2 linked regions of the Macaca mulatta genome follow. The protein of the gene in region 2 purifies or fractionates together with the protein of the main gene of each other region. This does not show direct contact. Links are inferred from orthologs where the notes say so. Each region holds a gene or a part of one and is shown on either strand. Other genes may lie near its edges.

Region 1 (3,652 bases), on a different chromosome or scaffold from region 2:
AAGTTGACTTAGATCGTGGGAGATTGTCTGACAAAGCATTTGTAATGATGGAAATCTCCCAATTTCACCTTTTAAAAAATTATCAGGCATCCGATTGGACAGATCAAACCCCATATCTTTATACTTGGGAGACATTGGCAAGTATAATGTGGTATAATTGTTTAGTTTTCTATCCATGTAGTTACAGAAGTGATAACAATATTTTTACTTTTTTTTAGAAATTTAAAAATGGTTTAAGCAAGCCAAATTTGAAAAATACTATTTTTTTCTATGTGTTTATGTTTAGAAAAAACAAGAAGATGACTCAACAATATCCACTGAGTTTGAAAAGTCAAGTGAAAACTGTCATCAGGATCTAAAACTGCCTGAAGAAATTACAACTAAACCTACAAAAAGTGATTTTACTAAACCATCCTCACTTAACAGTCAGGAGTTGACTTTGAGTAACACCACCAAAAGTGCCTCTGCCTGTTCAACCACTGAAACTGTTGGGAACTCTAATTCCATTGATACTGTGGGGATTTCGTCCCTGGTTGAGAACGATGAGAATGAGTTGAATACAATAGAAAAGCCTATTCTAAGAGGACATAATGAAGGGAACCAATCATTGATCTCAGCTGAACCAAGTAAGTGACAGGAGGATTATAAAGTTACTTAATTTCCTCTGCTTCACTTAGTTGTTTTTTTCTTCCTCTTGAACAAATTTGGCTAAGGCCATAAGCTGTTTATGACATCATTGTGGAATATATTAACTTTAGGGAAAAAAGGCTTGGGGTTTGGAGTTTCCTTCATGAGTTTTAAAATATTGGTTTAGGTAAACTAATGGAGGACTTGAAAACAGAAGTAATTTTTTCTTAGATTCGTACACAGTAATCTCACTCAGTAGTTTTAAAATAGATTCTTTAAGGACCATCATTAATGTCATTTGGTTGATGAAGTATGCAGAATTTAAGTGCTATCTAATTATTATCATTAATTTTGATTTAATCAGCTTCTGAGTAGTTGATGCCGTCACATGGTACAAAGAAATTCCAAAGGTTTTAAAGGATCTCCAGCGAATAGTCTCCCACATCTTCCCCTAGTTATTAATTTCCCATTCCTTGAAGCAATTCATGTAACAGGACTTAAGGTACAATTTAGAGTGATGGCACAATACACTGTGAGAACTAGCATTTGTTCATAAGGCTTCCTCATGGCTTTATCCATTTTTAAACATCTTTATTCTTTAGAAGGTAAGGGTGCAGGTAACTGCTGAATAATTGCACTGATACGGAGTCATTGTCTATAACTACTGTAAATCAGATAACAAATGATAGGCCTGTTTCTAAATTGAATAAATTTAGGTGATTAAGTTTAACAGGATTATTAAAAATAAATTGCAATAATTACAAAGTTCTTTTTTTTTTGAGACAGAGTCTCGCTCTGTGAGCTAGGCTAGAGTGCAGTGGTGCGATTTCGGCTCACTGCAGCCTCCCCTTCCTGGGCTCATGTAATTCTCCTTCATCAGCCTCCTGAGTAGCTGGGATTACAGGAATGCACCACCACGCCTGGCTAATTTTTGTATTTTTGCTAGAGACAGGGTTTCACCATATTGGCCAGGCTGATCTTGAACTCCTGACCTCAGGGAATCCACCCACCTCAGCCTCCCAAAGTGCTGGGATTATAGGAGTGAGCCACTGCACCCAACCGAAAGTTCTTTTTTTGATATGTGATTGTTACACATTTGAAATACATTTTTCGGCTGGGCGCAGTGACCCATTCCTATAATCCCAGGACTTTGGGAGGCTGAGGCAGGAGGATCACCTGAGGTCAGGAGTTTGAGACCAGTCTGACAAACATGCTGAAACCCCGCCTCTACTAAAAACACAAAAATTCGCTGGGTGTGGTGGTGGATACCTGTAATTCCAGCTACTCAGGAGGCTGAGGCAGGAGAATTGCCTGAGCCGGGGAGGCAGAGGTTGCAGTGAGCCAAGATGGGAAGACTGTGTCTCAAAAAAAAAAAGAATAAAAATACATTTTTCTTTTCCTTTTAGTTGTTGTTTCCAGTGATGAAGAAGGACCTGTTGAGCATAAAAGTTCAGAAATTCTTAAGTTACAATCTAAGCAAGACCATGAGACAACTAATGAAAATGAGAGTACTTCTGAATCAGCATTGTCAGAACTACCGTTGATTTCACGTGAATCTGTACAGGTAATTTATTTCTGTCTTCTCCCAGATTAACAGTGAAATATACACTATTGGTTAATGACTGTTACTTGTTTTATCAAGCTGAATATTGTAATGAAAATTAGAAATTTTCTTAGTTTGAATTTTGAGACAACTTTTATAGCAGTTTGAATGAAATATGTAGTTGTCTTTATTTTGAAATGAAAAGATTATACCATTTTTTTCTGGTGATTTATATTTTTTCAGTCTAAATATTCTATTACTTGAATATTTTTCTTTTTTTCTGGCTTTCATTGGACATTTCACTAACATTTTGTAGAATTAAAAACATTTTCTAGTATTTATATGTCTGGTCTTGGAGTATTATGGCTACTTGGAATTACTCCTTTTCCTCACATATTACGAAGGCAGTATGATATAGAGGAAAGAACATGGCTTTGGGGATATAGGTCAGAAACCTGTCAAATTTGGTAAGTCCTCTGCCTCTTCATTCTTATAGAAAATAGTAAATGGAAGTGTGTTAGTTTAGTATCAGTCAATTAAGTCAGTCCTTTGAAGAGAGTAGGTCTAAAATAAGGTTCAAAACATTTTTTGTCAGTATTTGTTCTTTCTTTCTTTCTTTTTGAGACAGGGTCTTTTCTGTCACCCAGGCTGGAGTGCAGTGGCATGATCATGGCTCACTGCAGCCTCAACCTCTTGGGCTCAAGCAGTCCTCTCATTCAGCTTCTCAAATAGCTGGGACCATAGGCTCGTGCCAGCATGCCTGGATAATGTTTTTAAAATATATATTGTTTTTAGAGATGAGGGTCTCCCTGTGTTGTCCAGGCTGGTCTGTTAACTACTGGGCTCAAGCATTCCTCCTACCTCCACCCCCCAAAGTGCCAGGATCACATGTGTGAGCTACTGCTCCCAGCTGGTACTCTTTCTTGTTATTAGCCTCTGATTATTCTATTTGTAAGAAAAGATCATTGACCACCAGTGCAGAATTATGGTAAACTTATCTTGTTTTGTTTTTGAATAATGTCAGAGGCTGTTATTTTGCAGAGTATGATGAAGAGTTGGCCCGATCTATGAAAACAGTTTGGTCTGATTATTGTTTCATGGGTATTTGCTTTTGTATTTGGTATTCCACGTAGAAATCACTTCAGCAGCTTTGTTCTGAAGTTTTGCAAAAATGTAACCATTTTTGCCAGATTGAGTCAATATCCTACTTGATGGTTTAGTTGCATGTATAATTAAAAGTGTCATTGTTGATAATGAATTTAAACTTATAGAAGAATTAGGCCTTGGCAGGGTATAAATTGACAATGCAGTATGAAATGATCATATTATAAGAAAATAACATATCTTTTAGAATTTACTAAATTCATAATCACAACCAAGCAGCCAATACTGTGGAGATCTACCATAAGGCAGAATGCCACATTTCTGTGCTCTCTCTTGTTCCAGTTTTAAATGAATGATGAGAAGTATGGATTGGTCATT
Region 2 (3,652 bases):
TAATTAGATATATACCTTTCTAGAACATTAGTTCCTAACCCTGTCTACACATTATAATCACCTGGGGGGTACGTTGAAAAAATTTCTAGTGCCTAAGATGCACCCCAGACCAGTAAAATTAGAATTTTTTTTTTTTTTTTAAGACAGAGTCTTGCTTTGTCACCCAGCCTGGAGTGCAGTGGCACGATCTCACTGCAACCTCTGCCTCCTGGGTTCAAGCGATTCTCCTGCTTCAGCCTTCCTAGTAGCTGGGACTACAGGCACATGCCACCACACCTGGCTAATTTTTTGTATTTTTAGTACAGACAGGGTTTCACCATGTTAGCCAGAATGGTCTCAATCTCCTGACCTGGTGATCCAACTGCCTCGGCCTCCCAAAGTGCTGTGATTACAGGCGTGAGCCACCACGCCTGGCCTCTGTCATTTTTAAAAAGGAGCTGTCTGAATAATCTGGCTTAGAAGCACTGGCCAGTGCAGAGAGTTTTTGTTCTTAGGCCAGGTTCTGAAGCTGCCAACCTTGAAAACAACCCCCACATGTCCCTTACATCATAATGTTCATCTGGGGCCCCTGATAGCATTCTTAGCAGTACTGGCTGCTGTCAGGTAGACAGCTGAGATGATAGGTGATTGTATGTTTTAAAGGTACAGGAGGGGATTGTGTATCTTTTTTAAGACCCCTGGAGAAGAAATTTGTTAGTTTGCATTATGCCTGATTTAAGATTACTGCCTGTATGATGATTTTAGCATTTTCTTCGCCCCGGCTCCTTTTCAGCAACTTGAACATTTTTCTTCCATTTGCCTCCCCTTCCCTCCCTATGTAGCAAACTATTTTCAGTTGCCAGTTATGATTTACAACTTAGTCCATGTGCCAGCATTCCAGCTGTGAGCAGCTGTGTGAACATCTGGGAACTTCTTCCCCGTAAGCGCCCCTAAAAGAGGCTATGTTTTTAAAAGTCAGTATCTCTCATTGATCCATGCATGGAATTTCCTTCCAATTGTGGATTTTGGTATCTTTGGGGACCACCCGGACCCCAAATGCTTTGTATGTCTCAGAGGAAAGCAAGTGAACATAAGATCAAAGAGATTTTATTATGAAAATCAGGCAGTAGATATTTAGTTCATTTGGGCACCTCTAAATCTTTTTTTTGTGTTGTCACTGGAGAGGCTAACATTATCTTCCATAATAAAGTTTTTAAAAATTCTCTAGTTTAGGCCGGGTGTGGTGGCTCACACCTGTAATCCCAGCACTTTGGGAGGCTGAGGCATGTGGGTCACTTGAGGCCAGGAGTTCGAGACCAGTGTGGTCAACATGGTGAAACCATGTTGAAAATACAAAAATTAGTCAGGCGTAACTGGGTGTGATGGCTCCCGCCTGTAATCTCAGCACTTTTGGGAGGCCGAGGTGGGATGGATCACCTGAGGCCAGGAGTTTGAGACCAGCCTGGCCAACAAGGTGAGACCCCCATCTCTACTAAAAATGGAAAAATTAGCCAGGTGCAGTGGCATGCACCTGTAATCCCAACTACTCGGGAAGCTGAGGCAGGAGAATCACTTGAACCTGGCAGGCGGAGGCTGCAGTGAGCCGAGATTGCGCCACTGCACTTTAGCCTGGGCAACAGAGGGAGACTGTCTCAAAAAAAAAAAAAAAATTACCTGGCTTGTATAAAATTTTGCTTTTTGGCTCTCATCAGTATTATTACACCTGGATTAGAACCTGTGCTCCTTGTCTAGATTGTATTACTGCATTTAGACCAAGTTTCAGTACTCATCTCATCAATTATCAAATTTTCTTCTTTCTGTCTTAAGAGACAGGTTCTCACTATGTTGCCCACCATGGAGCACAGTGGCATGATCATAGCTCACTGCAGCCTCGAACTCCTGGGCCCTGGGCCTCAGCCTCCTGAGTTGGAGTAGCACACTTCAGGTGTGCACCACTGTGCCCAGCTAATTTACAGAGACAGTTGCCTATGCTGGTCTCCAACTTCCAGTCTCCTCCTGTCTCAGCCTCCCAAAGTGATGGGATTACAGGCATGAGTCACTGCACCAAGCCAGTTTTTTGTTTTTGTTTTCTTTTTTGTTTTTGTTTTCAATCACAGTCCAGTTCTGCCTTCTAATGCTAGCAATCATCTACATCCAGAGGGGATAGGCATTGACCCAGGGCCTTCTGTCCAACCAAGCATATAAGTATTGGTGTTTGTGATCTCTGAAATTTTGCTATTTAATAGTATTGGCCTTGCATAATTCTTATCTCTATTCTTTCATAAATATAGGCGACTGTGAAATGTGTTAAAATTATTGGTTAGTGTTAAGGTAAACTAAAAGTCTAAAAAAATAAAGATTGAGAGAGAGGTAGTATATTTGAAGTTCATAAGATGAAAAGATATAGTTAGGGTAAACAGGGTATTCTTTAACATTTCAGAAGCTTATTTACAATATTAAGGAGATTCCAAGTGAGTGGGATTAGAGGAATTCCTAGATGTTGACTCCAGAGTATCTTTTTTTTTTTTGAGACGGAGTCTTGCTGTGTTGCCTAGGCTGAAATTCTGTGGTGCGATCTCTGCTCACTGCAATCTCCGCATCCCAGGTTCAAGCAATTCTCCTGCCTTAGTCTCTCGAGTAATTGGGGTTACAGGCACCTGCCACCACGCCTGGCTATGTTTTTGTATTTTTAGTAGAGATGGGGTTTCACCGTGTTGGCCAGGCTGGTTTTGAACTCCTGAGCTTGTGATCCGCCCGCCTCGGCCTCCCAAAGTGCTGGGATTACAAGCGTGAGCCACCATGCCTGGCTGACTCCAGAATATCTTATAGGACATTAGAGACTTTTAGGGTTCACCTCCAATCTTCTGGAGGAATTCCAGGAAAGATAATCACATCTTTTTTTTTTTTGAGACGGAGTCTTGCTATGTCGCCCAGGCTGGAGTGCAGTGACCGGATCTCAGCTCACTGCAAGCTCCACCTCCCGGGTTCACACCATTCTCCTGCCTCAGCCTCCCGAGTAGCTGGGACTACAGGCGTCCGCCATCTCGCCCGGCTAGTTTTTTGTATTTTTTAGTAGAGACGGAGTTTCACTGTGTTAGCCAGGATGGTTTCGATCTCCTGACCTCGTGATCTGCCCGTCTCGGCCTCCCAAAGTGCTGGGATTACAGGCTTGAGCTACCGTGCCTGGCCGATAATCACATCTTACAAAAATATCTCTTGGCATCACTGTCACTTCATTGTCACTGTCAGTACTTAGTATTAAGTTCTAAAAATTTTTCTGAATTGGTGACAGAAATGATATCAGGAGATATTAACTTAGGTTGTGTTTTGTTGAGCCTAGAAACAGGGAGTTTCTTTACTCTTTCCACAAGCTGTAACCTTTCTTCGTCTTCTATTTATAGCAGAGCAATGATATCGCTCGGGGCTTTGAGAGAGGACTGGAACCAGAAAAGATCATTGGGGCAACAGATTCCTGTGGTGATTTAATGTTCCTAATGAAATGGTGAGAGAGATTTGGCTTCATGTTACAATTGTGTTTCTTTGCCAGTGACTTGAATTTGTGCGGAAGATAGGGTGGCAAGATTGTGTATTCCCAAACCATGAATTTTCAATGTCAGAGATTTTTTTTTTTTGAAACAGTGTTTCGCTCTTTGTTGCCCAGGCTGGAGTGCAG

What was found. The genes of interacting proteins can lie anywhere in the genome.
Region 1: the proteins of CBX5 (region 2) and SENP7 purify together in Homo sapiens (affinity purification with mass spectrometry; 3 studies listed by BioGRID and IntAct, with this or other methods). This does not show direct contact. The link is inferred for Macaca mulatta from reciprocal best matches to the Homo sapiens genes CBX5 and SENP7.

The regions. Positions count from the first base shown.
Region 1 is NC_133407.1:182,227,939-182,231,590, forward strand, and holds part of SENP7 (sentrin-specific protease 7), read left to right. Parts: intron 1-286; coding exon 287-626; intron 627-2,033; coding exon 2,034-2,191; intron 2,192-3,652. UniProt on the Homo sapiens protein: Protease that acts as a positive regulator of the cGAS-STING pathway by catalyzing desumoylation of CGAS. Desumoylation of CGAS promotes DNA-binding activity of CGAS, subsequent oligomerization and activation.
Region 2 is NC_133416.1:61,432,369-61,436,020, reverse strand, and holds part of CBX5 (chromobox protein homolog 5), read left to right. Parts: intron 1-3,380; coding exon 3,381-3,481; intron 3,482-3,652. UniProt on the Homo sapiens protein: Component of heterochromatin that recognizes and binds histone H3 tails methylated at 'Lys-9' (H3K9me), leading to epigenetic repression. In contrast, it is excluded from chromatin when 'Tyr-41' of histone H3 is phosphorylated (H3Y41ph).